Linked DNA regions of Oryctolagus cuniculus. The protein of the gene in region 3 interacts with the protein of the main gene of each other region in a pairwise test. Links are inferred from orthologs where the notes say so. Each region holds a gene or a part of one and is shown on either strand. Other genes may lie near its edges.

Region 1 (5,290 bases), on a different chromosome or scaffold from region 3:
TCTTTAAATAAGTAAGTCTTTAAAAAACCAAAACACTGAATCATGCTTTGTCTCTGTGGCCACCTAGTGGCTGAAGAAACCACCTCTACTCCCATCAGTGTTCCTGGCTTCTATAGCCTGGCCTTTGGGAATGGCTCAGATGCTGCAGCCATAAAGGACTGTGATTGGGGGCTGCTACTGTGGCACAGTGACGCAGCGGGTTAAAGCACCAGCACTGTAGGCATCCCATATGGGTGTCAGTTCAAGTCCCGGCTACTCCACTTCTGATCCAGCTTTCTGCTATTGGCCTGGGAAGGCAGTAGAAGATGGCCCAAGTCTTTGGACCCCTGCACCTGTGTGGGAGACTTGGGAGAAGCTCCTGGCTCCTGGTTTCTGCTCTGGCCGTTGCGATCATGTGTGGAGTGAACCAGTGGATGGAAGACTTCTCTGTAACTCTTTCAAATAAATAAATTTTTTTAGAAAAGAGGGGTGGGGACTGACTGTGAAGGCTGGGACAGTCCTTGGGTATGCTGCTGAACAAAATCACACAGGAAGTAAGTGTTGTTTCTGTACTTATAGAATGCTTCTGTGTGTACCTCACTACCTTTGCATCTGATTAACTGCATTGCTGGTTTCCATGGCAACAGAAATGAAGTTAATTAAGATCAGGAAGTTAGAATCAGAGAAAAATAGTATTTAACAAAGTCACATCATGTACATTTAAATTAGTTTCTTTTTAAAAAAAATGTTTTGGAGTAGAAAAAATATCAGGCGGCCGGCGCCGCGGCTCACTAGGCTAATCCTCCTCCTTGTGGCGCTGGCACAACGGGTTCTAGTCCCAGTAGGGGCGCCGGATTCTGTCCTGGTTGCCCCTCTTCCAGGCCAGCTCTCTGCTGTGGCCTGGGAGTGCAGTGGAGGATGGCCCAAGTGCTTGGGCCCTGCACCCCATGGGAGACCAGGATAAGTACCTGGCTCCTGCCATTGGATCAGCGCAGTGTGCCGGCCGCAGTGCGCCGGCTGCGGCGGCCATTGGAGGATGAACCAACGGCAAAAGGAAGACCTTTCTCTCTCTCTCTCACACTGTCCACTCAGCCTGTCCAAAAAAAAAAAAAAAAAAAAAAAAAAAAATCAGGCTAAAGCTGTGCTTCTGAAGGATGGACAAGGTAGAACACATGAGTGGCACCTGAGCAGGTGTACGTCCACAAAACCCATGTGTTACAGCAAGGAAGACTCAGCCCTGTCACAATCCAGCCTCTGCTGGCTGCTTTAGATGAGCTTATATCACCCACATGCAATTATCAACAATTATTTCAAGGTATTAAAAAAGAACTTTGCCAATGACAGGGTTATTACAACAAACTAAGAACAATGCAGAACAGTCCCCAGTAATCTGAGGCTCAAAGAGAATTGGCTCTGGCCCCCAGTCAGAATTGCCTCCACATTCACACCAGTGGAAGGCGCCATGAATGGAGCCAGCTTTGCCACTGATAACCCTTTCTCAGCCCAGATGAAAGAACAGCTATTTTTATTGATGTGAGAGGCAGAGATAGCTCCATCTGCTGGTTCCCAGCCAGCAGATGGGAACTCAATGCAGTTGGCTGGTAGGTACCCAACTACTTGAGCCACCATCTGTTGCCTCACCGTGTCTGCATCAGCAGAAAGCTGGAATCAGAAGCAGGCCCAGGGCTTAAACCCAGGCATTTCAGATATGGGATGTGGGCATTCTAACTACTACGTGTAGACCCTGGGGGGCAGCAAGTAATGGCTCAAGTAACTGGGTGTCCCTACCCATGTAGGAGACCTGGATTGAGTTCCAGGTTTCCAGCCTCAGCATGACCCAGTACCTGCCACTGTGGGCACTTAAAGTGAGCCAGCAGTTGGGAACTCTGTCTCCTCTACCTGTCTCAAAAAGGAAAGGGAATAGATGGGGGGGGGGGGGACAACTGTCGAATTCTATCACTTGGCACCTGTGCTGCCTCTGGTGAAGACATTGGAACAGGACAAATGAATAGAGTGCCATCCAGCCAAGGGGCTGTATGCGCTTGATCGCTGCACAGCCCACCAGTATCCCAAGTTCCACAAGCCCTGACCCATAACCACTCTCGGGTGCCACTAGTAGATGAAACCAAGTGCTAGGTCCACCTGATGGGATGCAGCCAGCCCTCACTGCTCACCTGATGTGATTTTCCCCAAAGTTCTTTTCCTCCGGCTCGTCTACCCCCTCGGAGGTCTCCACTTCCGCTGACATTGTTGCCCAGTGGTTCTTGCTGCCCTCACTTTTGTCCTGTTGAGACACAAAGAGCTGATGATCCATCATGCATAGCAGACACGTCTCCAAACACCTGCCTGTTCTGCTCTCCTGAGCCAGCACAGCCAGGGAACACAGACACTCCGTGCTTTTCTTTACAACAGACCTCGGCCACTACTGAGACCACATCAGAATATGGACAAAGTCTGAATGCAGATGGTAGATTAGACAATGAGCATTACATTGACATTTGCTGTTTTTTCTTATAAATGTATAGTGGTTATAGAAATAAAAGTATGTCCTTGTTCTGAGGAAATAAACAGGTGTTCAGAAGTACAGGGGTGCACTATCTTACCATCACTGGTTCACAAGACTGGCATGTGTAAGCAGGTGCTAGGGTGACACGGTCAGTCAACAAAGCAGAGGAGCCAAATGCTGGTGTGAATCTGGGTTAAAGGTATAGAAGCGCTCTTTGTACTAATCTTTCAATTCTTTTCTGTACATTTGAAATTATATCAAAATAGTCACCAAAACATTTTTTTTTAAGTCTTCCAACAGTTTATTAGAAAGAATGCAGACATTTAAAAAAAATCCCCACTGTCATGAACATAAATTGAGGTTTTCAGCCCTGGTATAAGCTGAACCAGAAAAAAAAAAAAAAAAAGAAATTAAAAAAAAATTTCCAATAGTGTATTACATTTTTTCTCTCATTTGCCATACTGACAGTGCAAATACAAATCTGGTCTAAATGTACAGACTCTTAAGCTTTCTTCGTCCTCTATGCTAAGAGATGTAAAAGCTTAAGGGCCAAACAATATACCAAATGTATAGGCTTCAAAAACCATCTAAGTTAGGGCATTCACTAGTTTTAGCTAAGATACATCTGGAACACTGACAAGTGATCACTTACATAGAATAATGTGAAGTGAATTTTTTGAAAAATAAACTTTAGTGGAACACTCCTGAAGGATACACCAGAGGAATAGCTGGTTATCAGTTTAAGGTGTCAGCCAGTTTGTTTCAGCCTTTTTTGATTCCATGTTCTAAACCCTAAAATTTACTTATCTTTCCCTCAGCTGAGCACTTCCTATCATGTCAGTATCTATGTTATGAAGAAGTAAAGGAGACTTAAGTGAAATGTCTTTATTTATCACAACTGCTGTATCAATTATCTAGGACCTCAACAGCTTCATGAAGTCTGGGAAATGTTCACGCATAAGGTTATTGCCTTAGCTGACTTAAAACTGCCCCTTACAATGGAAATACCAACCCTTAGTGAAGCCTTTTAAAAAAACAAATAGGTTGAAAAATGGGTTAAAGGAGGCAAATACAGCATCCGCCTTTAGAGCTATCAACTCAGGAACTCTCTCAATTATGAAATTTTGCAGAGAATTCACTTTCTTTCTCAAATTCCAGGTGATGACTACACTCCTTATTCCAGATCCGGCATTCTTCCATCATCGCTGTCTTGTGAATCATCATTGCTCCATCTACTTCTGGCAAATCTCATCCTCATCACCACCCATGTTGTTCATCATCTCAGAGAAACGATCAAAATGCATCAGAAAGGCTTTTAAAAAGAAGCTGGGTGGGACCAGCGCTGTGGCATAGCAAGTAAAAGCCGTGGCCTGCAGGGCCAGCATCTCATGTGGGTGTCATTCAAGTCTCTGCTGCTCTACTTCCAATTCAGCTCCCTGTCAACACATTTGGGAAAGCAAGAGAAGATGGCCCAAGTGCTTGGGCCTCTGCCACCCACATGGGAGTCTGGGATGAAGCTCCTGGCTCCAGTGTGGCTCTGCCCTGGCCATTGTAGACACTTGGGGAGTAAACCCGTGGGTGGAAGATATCTCTGTCTCTCCCTCACTCTGTAAATCTTTCAAATTAATAAATAAATCTTTAAAAATAAATAATATGGGGCCGGCACTGTGGCACAGTGGGCAAAGCTGTTGTCTGCAGTGCTGGCATCCCTATGGGTGCCGGTTCGAGTCCTGACTGCTCCATTTCTGATCCAGCTCTCCTATGGGTGCCGGTTCGAGTCCTGACTGCTCCATTTCTGATCCAGCTCTCTTATGGGTGCCGGTTCGAGTCCTGACTGCTCCATTTCTGATCCAGCTCTCTGCTATAGCCCAAGTCCTTGGGCCCCTGCACCCAAGTGGGAGACACGGAAGAAGCTCCTGACTTCTGGCTTAGGACGGACGCATCTCTGGCCATTTAGGGAGTAAACCAGTGGATGGAAGACCCATATCTATCTATCTATCTATCTACCTACCTACCTACCTACCTATCTCTTCCTCTCTGCCTCTCTATAACTCTGCCTTTTAAATAAATAAATAAATGAATGAATGAATGAATGACAATGCTTAGAATGCCTCCAAGTCACATCAGAGTGCCTGAGTTTGAAAACTGGCTCCACTTCCAATTCCAGCTTCCTGCTAATTCACATCCAGGGAGGCAGCTGATGCTGGCCCAAGTACCTGGATTCCCTGCCACCTCTGTGAGAGCCCTGGATGCAGTTCCAGGCTCAACCTGTTTCACCAGGCCCGTCCCTAGTCATTGCAGGTATTTGGGGAATGAACCAGTGGATGGAAGATCTCTCTGCCTTTCAAATAAAGTGATTAAATAAAACCATCTAATAATAAAAGGATTCAATAAAACACAACATACCTGCAGAGTTCCTACATCAGCACAAGTGCCTTGAGGGCAGCTGGTCCTGTCAGCCTGGACAGAGGACCCAGAACAGGAGGCACTGAAGCTGGGGTGTGCCACGCTGCTCTGAGCAGATCCACTTGACAGCCGTTCACAAGGGCATGGCAAGGCTGTGTCAGCTGCAAGTGAGTCGCCAAACAAGCAGACTGTCTCCAGCCTGCTCAGGGCTCTGCTGGGCAACTCCCACTGCCTGTTGCAGGGCTGAGACCTCGTCAGCCAGGGAACTACAGCCCACAGCACAACAAGCTCATCCTCCATCCCAAGACGCTTCTACTCTGACAGTGTGAGGGCATCTGGGGAACTCTCCAGATGAACAGTGTTACAGAAGCACCAGGAACTAATAACACCCAAAGACAG
Region 2 (5,997 bases), on a different chromosome or scaffold from region 3:
TGAATCTTGATGTGAATGGAAGGGGAGAGGGAGTGGGAAAGGGGAGGGTTGCGGGTGGGAGGGACGGTATGGGGGGGAAGCCATAGTAATCCATTATTCGTACTTTGGAAACGTATATTCATTAAATAAAAGTTAAAAAAAATAAATAAAAAAAAATAAAAAAAAAAGTAAACCCTGAGCCCTTAAGCAGAATGGACCAAGGAACAGGTGGTTTTAACAGGGCCCAGATGGGTTTCAGAGAGGGAATGTAACTACAGACATCAGGAAAGGAAGATCTCCCCTGGTGTTCCCTTTCTTAGGCCCTCCCAACTCCTAGAAATATACCCAATGCAAAGGGTCAAACTGCGAATGGGGAATGGGAGAGGAAGCGACAAAATCCAAGATGAAGACTGTCCTAGCCCAAGCATCCCAAGCCAACAGGGACTAACCTGTGTAACCCCAGTTTACTGTCTTATTCCCAGGCAGACTATACTCAGATGCACAGGGCACCTCACCGCAGAGATAGGGGACGTTACAGCATTTACGGGAGGGGCATTTAGGTGGAATCTAAATGGGAACAGAAGGCAGGGAGGTGTAATTGGGATAACACCAGGTCTCAACTGTGACATGGACTAGGCTATTTCCCGAGAATGCACAGAATCAAGACAGAGGTGTGAGTGGCTTCCACAAGCCGCGTGTGTGAAACTGCTTCACATACAGACCAGGGCATCCTCCTGAGATCAGGCTGTCTCCTTTCTACCCACCATTCCTGACAACAAAGCGGTTGTCTGTGATTTCAACAAACAGCATTCTTAGCAAGAAAGCAGACACTAAATAAAGGGGTCATTCTGACACTTTACATCTGCACTGTGCCCAAGCGGGAACCACTTCCTGTGAACACTGCTGAGTCTCTTCACAGGATATTACCTCGCCTAGTAAACAATGGACGAAGCCCGTTGATATTTGCTTTCCCAGGAGCCAGTCAAGGAAACCCACATAAAATGAGCAGTAATGCTGAAAACCCTGAGGCAGGATAACGTTTGGTTATTTCAGGAGTAAACAAGAAACCAGAGAGGCTGGAACAAGGGCGGGAGGTTATGTCAGAGCCATCGTGACGCTCCTGCCCTAAGGCCTTGTGTGTCAGTTTTCATACCGTAGTCTGGGTTTAATGAAGCCATTCAGTCAGGAGAACCATGAGCCGACACACCCACAGAGCGGCAACGCAGCAGACATCAGGCCAACACAGCAGTCATGGTTGAGACCTGGGGCCGGAACCAAGAGCAGCAGTGCAGATGAGACGCAGATCTGACAACCATTCAAGTACTGACGTGTGTTGAAAAAGGGAGATGACAAGTTTGCCACCTAAGCAGCCAGGTGGGCAGAAGCACCACTGACCAGAAAGCAAAAGACAGACGGAGATGTTGGGCCTGACGCAGTGTTCTGAACAGCCTGTGCTGCTGGGACCCACAGCGGCCCTGGGGATAACACTGCTCACGAGGGCAACAAGGACAAGGGACCACACGTCGGGTGAGGTCCTGGACCCAACTATGCTGGGCCCTCAGCTCGTGTACTTCCTCAGACAGAGATGTTCAGCATTCTTTCAATCATCCACTTCCATCAAAAGTGGAGACTGAGGCAATAAGACAAAATGGTATAAAGCAATGAAATATTTAATGGGCTTATTTTCAAAACTGAGCCCCAGCGTACAATTAGGTAGCTTCACCACTAATCCTTATTACCAGGAGCACTTAACCAAGCCTGAAAAACCAATAAAGTACATTATTCTTTTCATGACACTCATTTCTGTTTCCTGTAGATTTTCCTCTCTCTCTCTCTCATGCCAGGAGGGGCATGTCATCCAAAAACATACAAATGGGGGCTTGCACTTGTCTGACACTCACAGCAGCCCAACAGCCCTGCTGTAGACGAAGCTGACCTCTGCCAACAGAGACCTCCTGGAAAGTCTCTGCACTCAAGACAACATCCCGGGGTTGTTCTTTGATGGGGGAGAGGCTAAAAGAAATTGAACCTAAACTCTTCATCAGGAGTATCCACAGTGGCCTTGGCGCCTCCCACTGGACGTGGCCTGCAGACCTTTCGGCTCTTCTTTCTGGTGGCCTCACCCACAGGCTGCACCTGGGCAGACCGAGCAGCTGGGGGGGGGGGGGCAGAGGGCATCAGAGTCAGGACTGAGTAACAGCAAACAGCACCTGTGCAGTTACGACTGCTCATGCAACCCTGACCCTCAGCAGAAATCAACTGATCTTGAGAATCCTAAGGCAGTTCCTATCATGACTTACAGAATCACGGAGAGAACTAGAACTTGCCAAGGGTGCTAACGACCTAAGTGGTAGCTTCAGGACTGGAGCAAGGTGGATGGCTGGTTCCAGGACTTACTAACTGCTGCATGGAAGGTGAGGCAGGGCCAGCTGTGGGCCAGGCTCCTTCCCCTCCGAGAACCTCTGCCCCCTGCGCCCAGGCCCAGTTCTGCTTTGCTGAGGGCTCCACACTTCCGCCCCGCCCAGGCTTCCCTGAGCTCAACTCCATCCCCACCAGCGTCAGAGATGCACTCCCTAAGCCCTTCCTCTCTATTGAACCGGACATCCCAAAACGCAAAGCTCCTCACCAGCCCTAAGAGACCGCAGGGCCTCCAGACGCTCGGCATCCATCTGAGCCCTGTAGTCTCCAAACAGGGCACGCATCAGCTGCCGCTTCCGGGGCAGGGGCGTCCTGTCGCTGCGCAGGGTTCGTATGGCCCCGACAGCCTGCTCTCCTGCGCATAAGAGAAAAGGCCAGTCCCCCGCTCTGTACCCACCTCCTCTCACCCAGCGCCGCCACCGCCACACCCCCACTCACTCTGCTTCAGGGTGGGTTTCCGCGTCTGGAGGCCCAGCTCCAACTGCTCCACGCACCAGGCCAGTTCTCGGGCCAGCTGCTCCGCCTGAGACGGGTGGAGAGAGGGGCTGAGGGCAGGCACCGGGACCTGCCGCCCCAGGCCCTTCCTTGCCTCCACAAGGCTGATTTCTAGACGCCACCGGGAGACCCCCTTGCCTGCGCCTCGGCACTTCGCGAGGCTTCCTCTGGAGCGGGCTGCTCCGAAGCCGTCTGGCCTCCGTTCGCCGCAGGAGCCCTGTCCCGGATTTTCTTCTTGGACTTCCTGGAGGCGGCACTGCCCTCAGAGACTGCGGGGTTCGCTTTGCGGGCGGCGGCACCGCACGTGGGTCGCCCTGCACGGAAACAGGGGAAGTACTCGGGGCACCGGAACCGCGCCAGGGGCCCGGGGTCTGCGTGGCGCGCAGGCGGTACCTGAGCCTGAGGCCGCAGAGGCCTCGCGAGCAGGACGTCCTGGGGCCTGAAGAGAAGAGGGCAGCATCAGGGTCACTGGAGGCCGCCAGCAGCCCAGGGGCCCGCAGCGCGCGCGCCTCCGCCACGCTCACCGCCATGCTCCGCCTTCGCCGCCGGAACCCGCGTAGGGCGCAGAGTCCGGGACCAAATTGGCCCCTCCAGCAACGCGACTGCGACGCGGAGTTCCGGGTGCGCGGGGAGGCGCGGGGCGGGGCAGGGGGCGGGGCAGGGGGCGGGGCTACAGGCGAGGCGGGGCGGCGCTGGCCGAGCTCCGGCTGCGTAGACAAAGCCATCTTCTGCTGCCTTCCCAGGCACATTAGCAAGAAGCTGGATTAGAGGTAGAGCAGGCGGGGCCGGGGCCGGCGCTGTGGCATAGCTGGTAAAGCTGCCCCCTGCAGTGCCGGCATCCCTTATGGGCGCTGGTCCGAGTAAGATAACAGCTAACAAGAACAAACCCAATAACGGATCCAAGATATGGTTGTAAGGTAACAGTGAGGCGCTGCTCCACTTCCAATCCAGCTCTCTGCTATGGCCTGGGCCAGAAGATGGCCCAAGTACTTGGGCCCCTGCACCCCTGTGGGAGACCCAAAGGAAGTGAGGAAGTGAACCAGCAGATGGAAGACCTCTTTCTGTGTGTGTGTGTTGTGTCACTCTTTTAAATAAATAAAAATTTAAAAGAAAAAAAGAAGTAGAGCAGCCAGGACTGGAACCAAGCAATGATATGGATATTTACTAACATATTAATATGCATTTTTCAAAAACCTCGTTGTCATAACAGAAGATTGGACTTCAATCTTGGGTCAATGTAATTTTGGCATTCACATTCAACTTGTAGAAAACTTGGGGCCGATGCTGTGGCGCAACGGGTTAACGCCCTGGTCTGAAGCGCCAGCATCCCACATGGATGCCAGTTTGAGACCCAGCTGCTCCACTTCCGATCCAGCTCTATGCTATGGCCTGGGAAAGCAGAAAGAAGATGGCCCAAGTCCTTGGGACCCTGCACCCGCATGGGAGACCTGGAAGAAGCTCCTGGCTCCTGGATTCCGGTCAGCACAGCTCCAGCCGTTGCAGCCAATTGGGGAGTGAACCAGCAGATGGAAGACCTCTCTCTCTCTCTCTCTCTCTCTCTCTCTCTCTGCTTCTCCTCTTTCTCTGTGTAACTCTGACTTTCAAATAAATAAATAAATCTTTTTAAAAAAGAAAACTCTATGAACAATGTTTTAAAATTGTAAACTTTTCTTAAAACTTTTTATGACTTGCTCACACCTTCTGAAATTTACACCCATAGTTACATAGTCTTGAATTGTCATGTATAGACAACCTATGAGAATACATGCTAACAAACACAAAGTCTCCCCTACAGCATTTAAGATGTTAAAAGTACACATAATAAGCCACGCCGTGGCTCAATAGGCTAATCCTCTGCCTGCGGCGCCAGCACCCTGGATTCTGGTCCTGGTCGGGGCACTGGATTCTGTCCCGGTTGCTCCTCTTCCAGTCCAGCTCTCTGCTGTGGCCCAAGTCCTTGGGTCCTGCACCCGTGTGGGAGACCAGGAGGAAGCACCTGGCTCCTGGCTTTGGATCGGCGCAGCGCCAGCCATAGCAGCCACTTGGGGGGTGAACCGATGGAAAAAGGAAGACCTTTCTCTCTGTCTCTCTCTGTCTCTCTCTCACTAACTCTGCCTGTCAAAAAGAAAGAAGGAAAGAAAAAAAGAAAGAAAGATCTAAAAAAGAGCAGAATCTACACATCGAGTCTTCCATCAACCTGAGTCGATTCCTATTATCTTCTCAATTAACTGGTTTTCTTGTTTGTTTTATCCAAATAATCTTTCAGAAAAAAACCCTTTCACTTGTGTTGACTTTTTACAGGACTTCATCAGTTTGAATCCACATACAAATCTCACATGCCTAAACCAACTTTTGTTTGTACTCCTAAAGTTTATCTCCTGTCTTCATTATCTGATGGTAAAAAAATATTTTTTGAAGTTGAAGTTACCATATTCTTCATGATAGAAAAACATTTTTGAAGAAGCCCAAACAAGAAAACCCCAACCTGGCTCCACACACTTGAAAGTACAAGATTACAATCACTTTTCTTAAAGTTGAAATGAGTGATAAAGATGAAAGAAAAGCAAATAGTCAAACAAAATACGTAACTGCACCTTAAGAACTAGTGCCATGAACACCTATCTAAACTGAGTCACTTCTGTTAGATAGGAAGTCAGGTATGAGCTTATGTGTGTGTGACAAAGGCCTAAGTAGACATTTGGGTCCAGCATCTGCATCTCAAGGTCATCCCGATAATGTTTCAGGGGCAGCCCAGTATCTTCTACCCAATAACCATCCTTCCTCTAACTGGGGCAACCCATCGGATAACTTCAGGGGAAAGCTCAGATAGGAGTTTTTAGTATTTACATCCAAGAAGTCCTTTGTTCCAAGAGGAGCAGAGGTGGGAAAGCAAGACCCATCCCCTTAAAAACCCCTGGCCTCAACCAGACTGCGCGCTCAGCCCTCTGCCTTTATGCTGAGCTGCCCACCTGGCCTGCCCAGGTGTACTCTTTCCACTCAACCATGTAACCTCGATCTTTCCCCCAGTCTGAGTGACTGGGCACTCTCTCTCAGGTCCTGTCTGGAGAGGTGCCCATCCGTTCTTACGGATGTCCCTTCCCTAAT
Region 3 (5,290 bases):
CGACTAGCCTTTCCGCCAGTTCATGGTGCCCGGCCTGCCTGTGGGGAGGGGTATGGCTCAGCCCTGCAGCAGCAGCCCACTGCCCCCACCGGCCAGGCCTCACCCCCTGGCCGACCCTCACCTGGCATAGTCGATGGGTGTGCGGCCATTAACGTCGGGGGAGCCAGGGTCAGCCCCGTACACGACCAGCAGCTCTGCCTGCAGCGTCTGCCCTGCCTTGGCAGCCACGTGCAGGGGTGTGGTGCCCTTCTCTGGGTGGAAGAAGTTGGCCTGGGCGCCCAAGGACAGCAGGCGCAGACATGTCTCCAGGTTGCCGGTCCGCACGCTTGAGTGCAGTTGCTGCAAGCAGTGGAGTGTGCAGTAACTGTGCACGCGTGTGCACGAGTCCTGCCCCAAGCTGCCCCTTGCCCCGCTGCTCCCCGCAAGCCCACCAGCTCCAAGGGCCTCAGCCAAAATCTGGCCATGTCAGGGAAGACAGAAGGCTCCCCACCAGGAGTGAATGCCAACGAATAAAAACTGCCTTCAGGGCTGGCACCCGGTGCAGCAGCCAGGATGCGGCCTGGGATGCTCACATCCCCATCCAGAGGGCCTGCTCCAAGTCACAGCTCCTCCACTTAGGAACCAGCTTCCTGCTAATGTACCGAGAGGCTGAAGGGAATGGCTCGAGGTGCCTGGGTCCCGGTCGCCCACATGGGAGACCTGGACTGAGCTCTGGGTTTCTTGCTTAGACCTGGCCCACCCCTGGCTGTTGTAGGCATTTGGGGAGTGAACAAGCAGCTGGGCGATCTCTGTCAGCCTTTCAAATAAATAAAAATAAGATTCAAAAAATCGTAACAACTGCCACAGTCACCAGCCGCTGTGTGCTTGTATGCTCTGCCAGGAAGCCATATCACCTATGAGGTAGTTGCTATTATTTCTTTCCCATTTTACAGATGAGACCACTGAGGCTCTGAGAGCCTTCGCACCTGCCCTTAGCTTCTGAGTGGCAGCTGGGGGACGTTAGCCTCATGTGCACACTCGGGAGCTGAGGCGCCTTGGTCACACACAGCCTGATGGAGCAATCTTGTCCCCTGCTGTGGCCACTGTTTTCCCCTGGCCAGGCAGCCCTAGGGGCCTCGGGCTCACTGGTCATGAAGGAGAGGCCCTCGCGGTGTGTGGGGGTGGGAAGCAGAGGCCCGCCCCTCCCTCGCAGGGCCCCCCGCACCTTGCTGAGGTCTTTGGCGGTGACCCCATCATCGTCCCGGCAGGGAAGCTTGTGCACAAACGCCAGCATCTGGTACTTGGCCCTGATGAACTCGGACTTGATGGGGCTGCACGGCACACACAGGAGGAAACGTGTGTCCCCGGCCACAGCCCAGGCCACGCACGCCCTCCCCGCCGCCCCTGCAGCCCCACTCACTGGACTTTGTCTTGCGGGTTGGCTTTGCGCCGGCCGCTCTGCACTTGTGCGGGGTCCAGCAGGGAGTGCTCCCAGATGGAGTTGGCCCCGTTGCTGGCGAGCGTGTGCACCATCTGCGGGGAAAGGCTGCCAAGTGAGCGTGCGCCCACTGCGTGCTGGGCATCGGGGACCCATCCCTAGTGCACGGAAGGGACCTCCTGTGGGTCTGCCACCCCACACCTGCAGCCAGCCAGGCCACCCAGAGGCCTGGATCCCATGGAGCATGCCAAGTGCCTTGCATGGCGCCACCTGGCTGCTAGGAAGCTGCAGAGTCGGGGCAAGAACTGGCTGTGTTTGTGAGCGCAGCAGGGGTGAGGAGGGTCAGGGTCAGGGTCAGGGTCAGCTCTGCCTAGGGGATGCTGCCCCGTGGAAGCTGCAGATTCCACCGAGGGTGGGGCTGCGGTGGGGAGGACCTGAGCCCAGGCCTGGGTCTGCAGGGAAGGAAAAACCACATGGCCCACCCCTGTACCTGCAGCAGTGTGGGAGGCCAGGCGCTGTGGCGAAGGTGCTTGACAATGGAGATGTGGCGTCCCAGGCTCCGGTGCACACTGCAGCACTCGTCACACACCAGCACACCCCTGCTGATGGATGCCCAGCCAGGGTCTGCCGGCGTGGAGGCAACGGTCAGCCAGAGCCAGAGGGCAGGCGAGACCTTCTCAGCGCCCACTCTGGGTCCACACCACGCTCAGAACTTCACGCGTGCTCACCTGCTCATACTCGCGGTTAGGCCCGGGTTACCAACAAAGGCTTTCTCCCAGGGCTCACAGGTGGGAATGGCAGGGCCACGACCTGTGCTACACATCCTTGCTCCTTTGGCGCCATGTGGTCTCCAGGGCCCATTCAGTGGGCACAGCTCCCTGTCCTGTGGCCACAGCCTCAGTCTCCCAGCCTTTCCCCAGGGAGCAAAGCTGCTGCCCTACCCCTTCCCGCAGGGAGGCAGGAATCCCCTAGGGGACGAGACCTTGATGCCATGTGCCAGACATCCCTGGATACCCTCCTCTCACAGGTCAGCCCCAGGTCTCCTGCACCTAGGGCCTAACAGCCAGACCGCCCATGGGCTCCTGGTGCTGGCAGGTGCGAGGGTCTTTCACGCCGCAGCCTCCTGCCACATCACTGATGGTGGGGGCCGCAGCCCGTCTGGAGAAGGGTGGGCAGAGCCGAGGCGCTAACCGCGATGAAGTGAACACCGTGCACCACTGGCTGTTTTATGCGTGATGCCTCTGAGAACTGTGCGGCGAGGTAGGAAATGCTGTCCCTGCCTCACCGATGAGGAGACAGTGGCTCAGGGAGGTTAGAGGGCTTGCGCAAGGTCACACAGCTGAGGATCAGAAGTGCTAGGATGTGGGCCCAGGCACTCTGACGGCAGACCCACGCCATGTCTACACTTTTGCTGTCCCTCCTCTGCCCCTGCAGCTCGGCCAGAGCCCCGGGAGAAGCGGGGGAAGAAAACTTGGCAACAAGGGAGCCAGGCCTGGCTGGAAGTACCCAGGGTCCTCCTCGAGGGTAGCGGGGATACCACCCATCCCAGGCCCCCTGGGCGAAGGGGAGGAGACAGCTGCATACAACTCAGGCTGCGGAAAGGTCACGGGGGAGAAAGCGGCCATTGTGTAGGCTTGCAAGTGGGGGCGGGGAGCTCTCCCTGGACACTGTGCTCTGCCCAGGGCTCAGGAAGCCCTGGCCTGGGGGCGGGCAGGGGGTGGGGTACTGGCTCTCTGCCTTTCCCCACGGCCTTCAGGATGTCCAGAGTGGGTGGCCCCTGGGACGGGGACAGCTTGGGGTGATGAGGACCTCTCCTAACCAGAAGATGACTCCCGGGCCGCGGCCGTCCAGGACTCCCATCCAAGTTCCCAGGAGAGCTGTGTGGAGGCTCTGAGTCAGGAGCCCAGCCTCGGCTCTGGCCACAGCGTACAGGAAGTAAATGAGAGGGCTCGGTCGCTAGGTGCAAGTTTCGTCAGGGACTCCCCAAAACAGGGCAGGAGAAGGATCCAAAGAATCCACAATGTGTCACCATATACCTTCCTTGGGCCATGAGGCCCAGACCAGCTGTCCGTGGCAAGAGGGGGAGCCCTGGGCGCACTGTACCACTAAGGCATGGAGGGCGGCCGACCCCCACTACCAAACACCACTGGGTCAGGGGTCTGCCCGCCAGCCACCTCCGGCAGCGCAGGCAGGAAGCCGGAAATGATGCAGCCTAAATTCTTCCTGCTGAAATGGTGGGGTTTCCTGTAAGTGGGGAGCCGCCCAGGCCAGGATCATACATGGGCCGCCCTGAGGCCTCCACCCCAGGCCCGTGGCCCTATCAGAGAAGCCAGGCCAGGAAAAGCTAGCGTTATAGCCAGGACCAGCGGTCCAAGAGCCCCAGGTTGTGGGCACACCAAACATAGTGAGCCCCTGGATGCGGCATTGACCAAGGGCCCAGGATCTGGGGAATGTGGCCTCAGGCTTTGCTTGGTCCCCTCACCCCCGCCTGTGGGAAAGGCCCTCCTTCTCCTCCATGGTGACCTGAAATGGAGACCTGCCGTGGTCTGGGCCACACTGGTGCCAGCTCACTTCTGGATGATACCGACAGAGGCGCACCCTAACTGTCTTACCTACCACCTACACCCAAACAGCCTCGGGTCTACCCAAGCATGAGCCCCCAAGTTCCACCTAAGCCAGTTCCTAAGAGAAGAAGCAGGAAGGGTTTCTGAAGCCAACTAGCTACTGTAGCTTAGGGACAAAGCACCCTTGCCACCAAGAGGCTGGTCAGCCCAAAGAGCTAGGGGCTGGGGTAGGCTGCTCAGAACCCGCCACCCCTCACCTGGCTCCAGCTCCACAGCTGGGGTGTGGTCTGCTATGCGAGGTAGGTGGCAGGGGGTCTCGGATGGTCCGACCCCATGGAGGCCTCTACCATGTCACTTCCTGCCACCACAGAAGCATTAGTGGCCGCAAGGGCCAGCACATCTGCTTATAAATACCTCTCTCCAGCACTAAAGCTCACACAAGAGGGAGAAGCCAGCTGCGCTGAGGCAGGCGAGGGCAACCCAAGGGGACAGAGGGCAGTTAGCCCTGGCGGGGCATTAAGGAGCTCAGGGTGTGGCCTCACGGCTGCACACACACATCCGTGTCCACAAGGCCCAACACGCTGCAGCAAGAGGAAGCAAGCCCACCACTCGCCCCGCCCCAGGAGCTGCGTTACGCAGAGGTCAGTGAGCCTGCAGGTTGTCCATAGGATGGGCATCCTGAGGCCTTCATTCCTGCGCCTTGGGCTGCCAGAGCAGAGAGGCTGCTGTGGGGACCTGGGCTGGGCCTGGGAGCTCAGCACTGAGGCCACGTGACTAGAGGTAAAGGACAGGGGACCGCGTTCTCCAGGGCTCCTGACCCCTGCACCTCTCTGGGACTGTGGTGTGAATAGGGATGCAGACTGCGGCTGACCAGGTGGCACCCGCGGCCATGCCACGTCCAGTTGCCTCAAAACATGCTCAAACCTACTCTCCACAGGCCCAGGCCCGGGACCCTCTGGGGACCAGCTGTACCTCCCCAGTGGACCAACTATAAAAAGGGCGTGACCCCAGGGCGTGACCCCAGGGCTCCCCTGACAGCGAGAGAAGCCCCCCTGGCTGGGGGCTTCACTGAGGAGGGTGGCACTGGGTCTGGACCCCAGGCTGCTGCGTATTCACAGGCCCCAGAACACCCATGCCGCCACACACCACGGCCAGCGTCACGGGGTAGGGGGTCTGCAGCCCTGATGAACACGCACGTCCTTGGGGCGTGGCTGGCAACTGCCAGACCCTCAGGCTCACCTCCTGGTCTTTGCCTTCTCACAGCCTCTGCCTGGGGCACGGGGAAGGCAGCACCAGGGACCTGAATGCC
Region 4 (5,290 bases), on a different chromosome or scaffold from region 3:
ACAAGAGGAGGAGAGGAGAGCAGACAAGAGGAGCCAAGAGAGCCACGTGTTCAGGAACAGGCCCCCCCCCCCGCCCTTTTCTTTTTTGACAGGCAGAGTTAGACAGTGAGAGAGAGAGACAGAAAGGTCTTCCTTCCATTGCTTCACCACCCAAATGGCCGCCATGGCCAGCGCACTGCGCCAGTCCGAAGCCAGGAGCCAGGTGCCTTCCTCCTAGTCTCCCATGCAGGTGCAGGGTCCAAGGACTTGGGCCATCCTCCACTACCTTTCGGGGCCACAGCAGAGAGCTGGACTGGAAGAGGAGCAACTGGGACAGAATCCAGTGCCCCAACTGGGATTAGAACCTGGGGTGCCAGCGCCACAGGTGGAGGATTAGCCTAGTGAGCCACGGCTCATTTTTAAAACTTTGCCGGAGGGCGGGCAGGGAAGCAGGAGCAGCGAATCCCATTAGGATGGGGGTGGAGTTTGACACTGGTGGTTGGGCCATGTGGCTACCTGGCTTTCAGCATTGGCAGGGGGAGCCAGGGCATAGATCACGCCATAGATAAAACTGCACCATTTTCCTAACACTTAAGAATGAGTATATTCAATGGCAAACCAATCTTTATTTTTACCACTTTTCAGGCATCTCGAAGATTTATGATTTGTATGACTCCTAATAAATTAGTCAGGGAAAGGGAGGTTAAAACTACACATTCTGGCCGGCGCCACGGCTCACTAGGCTAATCCTCCGCCTTGTGGCACCGGCACACCGGGTTCTAGTCCCGGTCGGGGTGCCAGATTCTGTCCCGGTTGCCCCTCTTTCAGGCCAGCTCTCTGCTGTGGCCAGGGAGTGCAGTGGAGGATGGCCCAGGTCCTTGGGCCCTGCACCCCATGGGAGACCAGGATAAGTACCTGGCTCCTGCCATTGGATCAGCACAGTGCGCCGGCCGCAGCGCGCCGCCGTGGCGGCCACTGGAGGGTGAACCAACGGCAAAGGAAGACCTTTCTCTGTCTCTCTCACTGTCCACTCTGCCTGTCAAAAAAAATAATAATAAAAAACCTATACATTCTGAGACCACCGCCTGCAATACCCCTGTTAGTTTGAATCCAGCCGCTCCACTTCTGATTCAGCTCTCTGCTATGGCCTGGGAAAGCAGTAGAGGATGGCCCAAGTCCTTGGGTCCCTGCACCCTCCTGGGAGACCCAGAGAAATCTCTTGGCTCCTGGCTCCCGGTTCCTGGCTTCAAATCAGCTCAGCTCTGGCTGTTGTGGCCATTTGGGGAGTGAACCAGCAGATGAGAGACCTCTCTCTCTCTCTGCTTCTGCCTCTCTGTAACGCCACCTTTCAAATAAATATATAAATCTCTGGGGGGAAAAAAACACTACACCTACTGAGACAGGAGTTTAGCCAGCAGTTACCAATTAAGACACCCAAAGGCCTGGGTTCACTGTCTGGCTCTAGCTCTTAACTCTAGTTTCCTGCAAATGCAGACCTTGGGAGGCAGTAGTGATGGGTGTCTGAAACTAACCACGTGGACAACCTGTCTGAGTTCCTGGCCTCCACCTTCACTCATGTCCAGCCCAGTCTGTTGCAGGCATTTGGGAGTTGAACTAACAGATGAAGGTTCTCTTTCTCTGCTTCTCAAATAAGTGAAACAAAAAAATAAAAATAAAAAGGAAGGGGGGTGCATTATGTTGTGGCACCCCTACAGGAGTGCTCCACCTTAGTGCTAACATGCTCCAGCTATTGCAGCCATGTGGAGAATCAAAAAACAGATGGAAGAGCTGTCTCTTCCTCTCTTGTCCCCCTACCTTACAAATCAATCAATAAATAAAATCTTTAAAAAACAAATAAAATTATTCCTACTTAAATAAATCTTTACAAACAAAATTAGTATGGACATAACTGTAGAGAGAACACGGATTTAAGATACATAATTTCAATGTTTAAAATTAAACACTCATACCTTTCTAAGGTTCATTACCTCATTTTTTAAAAAAAGAAGGCATTTGACTAAATAACCACTAACGCTATTTCTATACACTTTGGCCCAAATTTCAAAATAAACAAATTCAATGATTCAGTTCAGACAACCGTTCTCCCATAACAACCCCTGTAAAGATATATTTTACTTACATTCTTCCTACGCCTTCATACATGTTAGTCTCATCTACCAAAGTCATAATTTCTGTATCTGTAAGATGTGCATGTTTTTTCGTTCTGTTCAGTTGCTCAATCTGTATGTCTGCAAGCTTCACTTTCTGTTGAGTGTCAATAACTTTGGCTTGAAGCTCTGTGAAGGCCTAATAAAAATAGGTCCTTGATTTAGTAGGTAAAACATTTTACAGCAAACATGTAAGCCAAACCCAAATACATTAAAACAAAACCTGTTTTCAATTCACAAAGCTGTGAAATTTACCAAAGCAAATATCAGTAAGCTTACACTATAATTATAAATGATCAAGTCACTATGCTAAATACTGAATTTACCTGTCCTTAGAAGATGCAATCAACCTGAAGCAAAAATAAATGCACATTAAAAAATAACCATACCAAGTATCAACTACTCCAGGAGTTTCAGATGATGAAACCCAAGGATTCAAAGAAAAAAACACAGGGGCCAGTTTTGTGGCACAACAGGGCTAAGCCATCACTTGCAAATCAGGCATTCCATCTCTGAATGCCTGTTGGTTCAAGTCCCAACTGCTGCACTCCCAGACCAGCTTCCCATTAACACGCCTGGGAAAGCAGTGCAGGATGGCTCCATGCGTGGAGCCCTGCCATCCCTGTGGGAGATCCAGATGGAGTTCCTGGTTCCTTGCTTCAACTTGGTCCAGCCCTGGCTGTTGCAGGCATTTGAGTGAAGCAGCAGATGGATGGAGGATTGATCCTGATACTTCTGCCTGCGCCTCTGCCTCTGCCTCTGCCTCCGCCTCCATCATCTCCATCTCCCATCTCTCCCTCTCCCCACTCCTACCCTCTCCCCATCTCTGCTTTTCAAAGAAACAAACCTTAAGAAAAAAAACATAAAAGTAACAACTCATTCCATCTGTACTACACAACTAGGTTTCAAAGCATTTTCCCACATTAGTCTGAAATGTTAATATAAGAAAATTAATGAAACTATTAAAGAGGGATATAACACTTAACTCATTTATTCTTCCAAATAACCTTGAGTTAGGGACAAGTTTCACCATCCACAATTTATAAATTAAGTAACTAAATCAATTGAGATAAAAGTGGCTTACATAGGGTTGAACGACATAAGATTCAAAAGGAAGGTATTAGAATCATTTTCTTCTGACCCCTTAGTTCAGAAATCTTTCACTTTTATTATCTACAGAAACATTCAGAACATGAATATTTTTAAGAAAATTTGTGCCAGCCCCGTGGCATAGCAGGTAAAGCCACCACCTGCAGTACCAGCATCCCATATGGGCATCAACTTGAATCCCAGCTGCTCCACTTCTGATCCAGCACTCTGCTATGGCCTGGGAGAGCAGTGGAAGATGACCCAAGTCTCTGGGCATCAACACCCACATGAGAGACCTGAGGGAAACTCCAGACTCCTGGCTTTGGATCCCACCAGCTCCGGCTGTTGCAGCCATTCAGGGAGTGAACCAGCAGATGGAAGATCTCTCTCATCCACTATGGACACCAGCTCAAATCCCACTGCACCACTTGCAATCCAGCTCTGTGCTATGGACCAGGAAAGCAATGGAAGGTGGCCCAAGTGCCTGGGCCCCTATACCCAGTGGGAGACCTGTAAGAAGCTGCTGGCTCCAGATTGGCACAGCTCCGGATGCTGCAGCTATTTAGGGAGTGAATTAGCGGACAAAAGATCCCTCTCTCTGCCTCTGCATCTCTGTAATTCTGCCTTTCAAATAAATAAATCTTTAAAAAAGGGGGGCCAGTGATTAAAGCCACCGGCTGCAGTGCCGGCATCCCTTAAGGGCACCAGTTCGATCCCAGCTGCTCCAATTCCAATCCAGCTCTGTACTATGGCCTGGGAAAGCCGATGGCCCAAGTCCTGGACCCCTGCATCCACACAAGAGACTCGGAGGAAGCTCCTGGCTTCGGATCTGCACAGTTCTGGCCGTTGCAGCCATCTGGGGAGTGAACCATTGGACATTAGACGCCTCTCTCTCTGCCTCTCTGTAACTCTTTCAAATAAATAAAATAAATCTTAAAAAAAAAAAAAAAAAAAAAAACCAGAATGTAGGTCTGTAGATTCCTCTCTCTCTGCCTCTCTGAAACTTTGCCTTTCAAATAAATAAATCCTTTAAAAAAAAATAGGGGTACAAAAAAGAGAGAAAATGCAAAACACTGGCAGAAGTCTTGCATCATGATCTTCATCCACACACACCAAGCCAAATTTGATCCTTGAGTACACTTAACTCAAACATAAACCCAGTTCTTGGATATTCTTGCTGAAGTGCCTTGGAATGACTTTCACACGCTGTCAGAGTTCTGCCTTAATAACAACATTCTGAATGCAATACCTGGCAAAAGCCACCACCACACAGCTTTTATTCCTTCTTCTCACAGTTCACTATGGTGCATGCCTTCCCACTGCAGTGCTTTGCTATTCCCAAATAAATAAGATTATTTGAAGACTCTATGTGTTGTGCTTCATTCAGAGTTGCATATCTAGCAAAGTTTCAGAAGATTTACTTTGGGGAAGAAGAGATGTCTATATTTCCTATTAAATACCACTCAAAAAAATAGCTTATGAAGACATTAGGAAATAAAACTGATACACGGAGCCAATGCTAGGGCACTGAAGGTTGAGCCTGCAGCAATGCCATCGAATTCTGGCTGTTCCACTTCTGATCCAGCTTCCTGCTAGCTAGGGTGCCTGAGAAGGCAGTGGAGGATGGCTCAAGTCGTTGGGCCCCTGCACCAACATGGGAGACCAGGAAGAAACTCCTGGCTTTGGCCTGGCCCAGCTCCACCATTGCAGACATCTAGGGAATCAATCAATGGATTCTCTCTCTGCTTCTGCCTCTCCCTCCCTTTCAAATAAATAAATCTTTAAAAAAGAAAAAAAAAAAAAACTGATATACGTTTCCTTGTTAATTGGTTGTCAAAATTATTCAACTTGTCTATAATTTTTTTTTTTTTTTGACAGGCAGAGTTAGAAAGTGAGAGAGACAGAGAGAAAGGCCTTCCTTCCGTGGGTTCACCCCCCAAATGGCCGCTGTGGCCGGTGTGCTGTGCCGATCCAAAGCCAGGAACCAGGTGCTTCCTCCTGGTCTCCCATGCGGGTGCAGGGCCTAAGCACTAGGGCCATCCTCCACTGCACTC
Region 5 (6,050 bases), on a different chromosome or scaffold from region 3:
ACCAGCACATGGAGGATTCTTTCTTTCCCTCTTTGTGTAGCTCTTTCAAATAAATAAATCTTAAAAAAAAAAAAAAAAAAGAAAAAAGGCTTGATGCTTTGATTAGTTTTCTTTTGTGGTACTTAATTACTTCTGTTTTCCTGGGAGACTAATAACAGTTTACTCTTCATTTAAGTGTCACTGTGGTCTGCCAGCACATTGGCTTCCAAGATTCTTGTCTGCTCCCATGGCCCAAAGGGTCAAGAACCTGCTCCGACATACTTTGAGTATGGAGTCACTGAGGAACACAGAGCAGGCCTCAGTCAAGTTGTCCAGGGGTTTTTCTGAACAGAAAGGAAAGGATCTGAGGCCTCTACTCACCCATTATCTGATTCTAGGCACACCACAGGAATGTCGGTGGGGTCAGAGGTTAGCTTTGCTGCTTGCTGCGCCAGAACAGAGATCACTCCAGCATGCTCATCTGACAGCGTCCCACGGCCTGAGAGAGAGAGAGAACGATGGTATCAGGGCACCTGGTGAGCCACAAGTAAGTTTGGAGCAACAGTATCTCACTGAATGATTCACAAAGAGGAGGTTCAGGTCCTGGTCCTTTAAGTTTGGTGCTTACATGAAGTGACTGTTCCCTGACGCTCAGTGGTTACATCAGTGAGAAAGCCGGGCAACAAAAATCAATAAATCAGTAAGCTATAACTGACACACCTATCACCATCTGTAAACAGCTTCAACATACCAGGACGCTGTAATTCAGGTCACTCTGAAAACCATAAATTCACTGGATAGGAACCTTGCGAAAACAAAAAGCTTAGAGGTGAGATTGACAAAAAGCAGTCAATACGCGCAAGAGGCTTGCTGAAGCTAATTCATTCCTCATGGGAAAGCGGATTTCCTCTCCTGAGGAGTCACGCAGTCTCAGATCTCCTCGATGGCACGTGTGAACATTCTGTGAGCAGTTATTTCTGCTAGCATAGCTACTTGGCTGTTTTCAAATGCCCACACGATTGTCTTCTACTCCTGACTGCTTTAGCTTGTATATGATAACGGAACCTTGGGTCCCAAGCACAAAATGTAACTGCTGAGTTTACTGTGTCCTGTATGTGTGTATGAAGGCAGGCCAAGCAGAACCGTGCCTGTGGCTGGTGGGCAGAGGGATTTCCTGACAGCAACTCACCAGCACGGCGCCATCTTTTGCACCTTGAAGCTTTCTTGAAGCAACTCTAATAGAGTTTCACACTTCATTTCAGTATTTCCATTAGTGAGTCTGGCAAAAGCGTCAAAACATTTGCCTTTTTTCTCCAAGCAACTGAGTTATAGATTACCGCTTTGTTACCCTTGCAGCAAAAATTCAGAGCTTTAAAAATTCTTGCACTAAGACGTGTCCTGGGTTTACTAGTTCTGACATTAACTAAATGCTCTAGTTATCTATCATTTTCCTTATCTATCATTTCCTCATCTGTGATTGCTGTCATTCTCTGAGCATGTTCCATCTGGGTGTGCACTGTCTTAAGCATATTATATAATCTCACGGCATTGTGATTGAAGAGGCTTTGGACCCTGACACCATTTCTAGCTCAGCCAATTACCGCCCTATGACCCTAGGCAAGCTACTTTACCTCTGTGCCTCACGTTGGTTGTTAGGAGGAGTGCGTGAGTTACCATTAGAATGGTACCTGGAACTCAAGGAAGAGCACGCAATTCTGTAAGCACTAGTCTCAGTAAACAAGAGCCCAGTGAAGCTATGCCATGGAGGCCGGTGCCATGACACATCTCTGATGCCGGCATCCCATATTGGCAGCGGTTTGTGTCCTTCTGCTCCATTTCTGATGCAGCTCCCTGCTAAAGGTCTGGGGAAAGCAGTAGATCGCCCAAGTGTTTGGGTCCCTGCCACTCTTGTGGGAGACCTGGATGATTCTGGCTTTGGCCTGGCCCAGCCCTGGACATTATAGCCATCTGGGGAATGACTCAGAGGATGCAAGATCTCTCTGTCTCTCCCTCTCTCTAATTCTTTCAAATAAATAAATAAATATTAAAAAAAAAAAAAAGTTCCTGAAAGGTTCATTTAGGCCCAAGTTCACACAACTAGCAAATGAAAGAACGGGGTGGGGGTGGGGGGAGTGTTTGAACTCAGCTGTGCCAAACTCAGAATCTCCTATTTTCACTGTTGGTGTACTTGGACTAGAACACTGCACCCACCCATCATGCAGGGATACTGTGGAAAGTGCAGCAAGGCAGGTGGAGCCTCGCATATGGCTCAGCACATGCTCACAGCTCTCATGGGCGAGTCCTGTCTAGGCCCAGTTTGAAATGACTCAAATACTATTTGGTCAACACCAGGTGTGGCGCAGTCCAGCAAAGGGTTGGCAGGAGATACTTACAGCCCAGATTGAGGCCTTGTGAGTCTGTGCACAGGACTCCAACAATGGACGGGTTCTTCATCCTAATTCCAGAAACACAGGAGAGGTGAGGCAGAGGGCTTGAGAAAGTGGATGCAAACGGTTATGACGCCCGTGGGCCTGCCATGCTATCAGGCATTGCCTAAGTGCTTTAAATGGGTTTCTCGACCTCTTTCCTACCACACTCCCCAACCCCGAGCAAAATTAAAGTAGTAATTGAAGCCAGCTGCAGAGAAGAATGAGTATCTGCTGGGTTTGGGAAGCCTAGGCGCACGCAACAGTTCGGATGCGGGGTTTTTCGCCGTTCTAACCGCACGCTTTACGTAACAGCTCAGGTAAGACAACTGGACAAACTAAGAGGCGTTGCCTCCCGGAAGGGAAGTGGGATGACGAGGGAGTGGCTGGGAGGGTGGTGTCTGCACGTACACCTTAGACTTTTGCAGCTTTGAGTTTACACAGACGTTAACACATTTAAGGAACAGGTATTTCCTTAAACACCAAATGACAGATCGCACACACGATCTGTGTGTGTGTGTACCCGGTGCGGCCGACGGCACACCTGCGACACCCTCCTGAACGACCTAATCCTGCGGACGGCGCCCCGAGAGGAAGGCTGCGGGCCCCAGCGGGATATTAACTTCGGGCCACCGGCCCCGTCCCCTCGGCCAGCCTTCTGGGGTGGCACGGCGTCCCCGAGCCGCCCTCCGGCGCTCGCGGGTCTCGCCCGCTGTCCCGCACGTAACCCGCGCTGCGACCTCAGAACTGGCCGGAGAGGCCCGCACTGCTCACGTGTCCTCCAGGTGCTGCTCCAAGGTCGCCTCCATCCCGCCGGCCGGCAGCGCACCCCCGCCCGGGCCCCCGGAGCCGTCGCGTTCCGCTTCACTGCGGGCCTCCGTCACGTGACGCGAGCCTTCCGCTGCCCGCGACGGCGCCGCCGATGGGACAAAATTCGCCGCGGCGCCACGTCCGAGTTCTCTCCCGGAAGACGGCGCCGAGCCGTGCTCCCGTCTCCCTGAGGGTTCGGGCTGCGCGGGGTGAGAGTCTGCAGCCAGGCCCCAGCGCCTCAGTTCCTGGCCTGCAGTCTGGCCCAATGGTTCTTGTCCGTTGGTCTCAGTGCAAACGACTCCGAGACCCAAGGACAGGATGGTGTTTGACAGTAACCCTGCGGGCCCGGCGGGATGGAGCAAGTGGCCAGAGGAGCCACGGGCTCCTTGAAGGGCGTACACCCGGGACAAAGGACGAGGTGGCCCGCGGGTAAAACCCGGAGCGGGGCGCTGGCAAAACGTGTTGGAATTTTAACTAAGACACTGCTTTTCCTGTGATCAGGGCTCAGGAAGGTTTGGGGCCAGAAGGTGCCGTGTGATACCTAACGCATAAGGAGGACTGGGGTGACACTCCCTGAAAACAGCTTTACAAGCTGTCAAAGCCAAGATTAAAAATAAAGGAAGGAAACCAGCCACACTTCCCACACTTCCACTGCCAGAAGTGACTGCAGTCCCTTTCAGGTGGATGTATTTGCAGAGGTATGCTCTAAATGGCTTTTGTTCTTTTCTAAGCAAAAAAAAAAAATATTGGACATGATTCCTTTGCTGAGCCTTTGCACAGGTTTTAGCATAAATGTCTGTTCGTGTTAATAAATACTTAGTTTTGAGGCCGGTGCTGTGGCACAGTGGGTTAAAGGCTTGGCCTGAAGCACCAGCATCCTATATGGGCGCCGGTTTGAGCCCCAGCTGCTCCACTTCCGATCCAGCTCTCTGCTATGGCCTGGGAAAGCAGTAGAAGATGGCCCAAGTCCTTGGGCCCCTGCACTGGCGAGAGAGACCCGGAGGAAGCTGCTGACTTTGGATCGGCACAGCTCCGCCATTGCAGTCATCTGGGGAGTGAACCAGCGGATGGAAGACCTCTCTCCCTGTCTCTACCTCTCTCTGCAGCTCTTTCAAATAAATAAAATATTTAAAAATAAATACTTAGTTTTTATTAATTGCAAAATATTCCATGTCTCAGCCGTATGTGCTTTAACTGACTTGACCAACTCCATGTTAATGTACAGTTTGGATACTAGCTTGCTGGGTGAATATCCTCTTGGCTAAATCTCTGTGCAGTTTAAAATTTTCCTGGTAAGCTACTAGAAGTGGAATTACCGGGCCAAAGGATATGGTTGTTTTTAAGACTTGATGGACGTGAATTGCTGGCACAGAGGTAGTGCCAGCGTGCACTCAGATGGTAGCACTTTGGTGAAAACAGGAGCGCACCTGTGTGTCCTGCCAGTTCTGCTAAGCCTCGCCTTACCGGAAGCGTGCTTGAGCCCTCTCACCTGCAGCTGTTACCCGGGCTCCCTGCTGACTATGGCCAGCTCAGGGCGCTTTCAGCCTGGAGGGCAAAGTCCCTCTTCATTCCCAGAGGTCAGAGGGGAGCTTCCAGCTTCCTTCAAATCCCACTTTGTGCGTTGCTTTTCAAGGGTTTTGGATTCCTGCCCTAGAAGAGTTATTTCTGGTAAAGGACAACACAATATGGACCATAGACATTTTTAGGAAAAAGGATTTAAAAGCTGACCTCACAAGATTGCAATCAGACATGTAAGTGAAGTACTTACTAACTACTGGAAACCAAGTTGTGACGGCTGGCTGGGGAGCCAGCCTGCTTCCTGCTGGTCATGCGTTGCAGGACCGCCCCCTTGTGGTTACTCGGTGTGTAACGTTTTACCGGGCTGCGAGGTGCAGCCTTGGGTTTTTGGTGTGTGCGTGTGTGTGTGTATGTGTTTAACCTCTTAGGCAGCCTGCAAACAGAAATAAGATGACAGGGCACTCCTTATGTGAAATGATCTGGTAGCCACATCAGAGAAGTCTAAAAACATGTGAATTAACTTTTAAGAAAATATTTTACATACCCAGACAGTATATCCAAAATATCCTTTCAACATAAAGTTTTCAAAATCCAATGTACATTTCATGCTTACCAGCCCATTTCCATTCACAGGATCCACGTTTCAAGTGCTCAGCAGCCGTGAGAGGCTGGCAGCCACAGCAATGGTCAATGTGGCTCCCGCGGATCTCAGATGACCGCCAAGCCAGATGGCACTGAGGCTGCTCATTGGTATTTAGGCTGCAAGGAATGCCGGCAAAGGGGAACAGAAGGAGGAGGATGGCAGTGGGCACACACCAGAGGCAGGAGGGCAGCCTGCTCCGCCAAGTGGCTCGCTCTCTGCTGCTACTGGTTTGCCCCATGCAGTCTGGCACAGGGAGCATTTGCCTGCTAGTATTTTTTTTAAAGACTTATTTATTTGAAAGTCAGAGTTCTGAGGGGCAAGGAGAGTCTTCCATCCTCTGATTCACTCCCCAGATGTAATGGCTGGGGCTGGGCCAGGCTGAAGCCAGAAGCCAAGAGATTCCTCCAGGCCTCCCATGTGGACAGGGGCCCAAACACGCGGGCCATCTTCTACTGCTTTTCCAGGTGAATTAGCAGGGAGCTGGATTGGAAGTGGAACAGCCAGGACTTGAACCGGTGCCCATATGGGATGCTAGTGTCACAGGTGTCAACTTTACCTGCTGCGCTGCACTGCCAGCCCCTGTACTTTTTTTATGCTCACTTTGTAATGTCGGAAAGAGCTCCTTCTCTGGGTCTGCCTCCCGAGTGCCACAGAGCACCACGGGAGTTCCATAG

The links.
Region 1: the proteins of GIT1 (region 3) and HMOX2 interact in a two-hybrid assay, tested with the Homo sapiens proteins (2 studies listed by BioGRID and IntAct). The link is inferred for Oryctolagus cuniculus from reciprocal best matches to the Homo sapiens genes GIT1 and HMOX2.
Region 2: the proteins of GIT1 (region 3) and C6H8orf33 interact in a two-hybrid assay, tested with the Homo sapiens proteins (2 studies listed by BioGRID and IntAct). The link is inferred for Oryctolagus cuniculus from reciprocal best matches to the Homo sapiens genes GIT1 and C8orf33.
Region 4: the proteins of GIT1 (region 3) and PFDN1 interact in binary tests that used the Homo sapiens proteins (3 or more experiments, as listed by UniProt). The link is inferred for Oryctolagus cuniculus from reciprocal best matches to the Homo sapiens genes GIT1 and PFDN1.
Region 5: the proteins of GIT1 (region 3) and LAMTOR5 interact in a two-hybrid assay, tested with the Homo sapiens proteins (2 studies listed by BioGRID and IntAct). The link is inferred for Oryctolagus cuniculus from reciprocal best matches to the Homo sapiens genes GIT1 and LAMTOR5.

The regions. Positions count from the first base shown.
Region 1 is NC_091450.1:31,092,258-31,097,547, forward strand, and holds part of HMOX2 (heme oxygenase 2), read right to left. Parts: intron 4,941-5,290; exon of another isoform or gene 4,892-4,940; intron 2,264-4,891; coding exon 2,154-2,263; intron 1-2,153.
Region 2 is NC_091437.1:168,507,142-168,513,138, reverse strand, and holds the start of C6H8orf33 (UPF0488 protein C8orf33 homolog), read right to left. Parts: upstream 3,633-5,997; 5' UTR 3,618-3,632; coding exon 3,417-3,617; intron 3,332-3,416; coding exon 3,286-3,331; intron 3,207-3,285; coding exon 3,031-3,206; intron 2,921-3,030; coding exon 2,836-2,920; intron 2,753-2,835; coding exon 2,606-2,752; intron 2,383-2,605; coding exon of another isoform or gene 2,336-2,382; exon of another isoform or gene 2,133-2,335; coding exon of another isoform or gene 1,993-2,132; exon of another isoform or gene 1,634-1,992; intron 1,242-1,633; coding exon of another isoform or gene 1,162-1,241; exon of another isoform or gene 1,133-1,161; intron 1-1,132.
Region 3 is NC_091448.1:45,045,342-45,050,631, forward strand, and holds part of GIT1 (ARF GTPase-activating protein GIT1), read right to left. Parts: intron 2,042-5,290; coding exon 1,908-2,041; intron 1,513-1,907; coding exon 1,400-1,512; intron 1,311-1,399; coding exon 1,205-1,310; intron 340-1,204; coding exon 122-339; intron 39-121; coding exon 1-38. UniProt on the Homo sapiens protein: GTPase-activating protein for ADP ribosylation factor family members, including ARF1.
Region 4 is NC_091437.1:27,957,156-27,962,445, forward strand, and holds part of PFDN1 (prefoldin subunit 1), read right to left. Parts: intron 2,287-5,290; coding exon 2,120-2,286; intron 1-2,119. UniProt on the Homo sapiens protein: Binds specifically to cytosolic chaperonin (c-CPN) and transfers target proteins to it. Binds to nascent polypeptide chain and promotes folding in an environment in which there are many competing pathways for nonnative proteins.
Region 5 is NC_091438.1:59,943,044-59,949,093, reverse strand, and holds the start of LAMTOR5 (ragulator complex protein LAMTOR5), read right to left. Parts: upstream 3,312-6,050; 5' UTR 3,215-3,311; coding exon 3,180-3,214; exon of another isoform or gene 2,435-3,179; coding exon 2,373-2,434; exon of another isoform or gene 479-2,372; coding exon 361-478; exon of another isoform or gene 1-360. UniProt on the Homo sapiens protein: As part of the Ragulator complex it is involved in amino acid sensing and activation of mTORC1, a signaling complex promoting cell growth in response to growth factors, energy levels, and amino acids.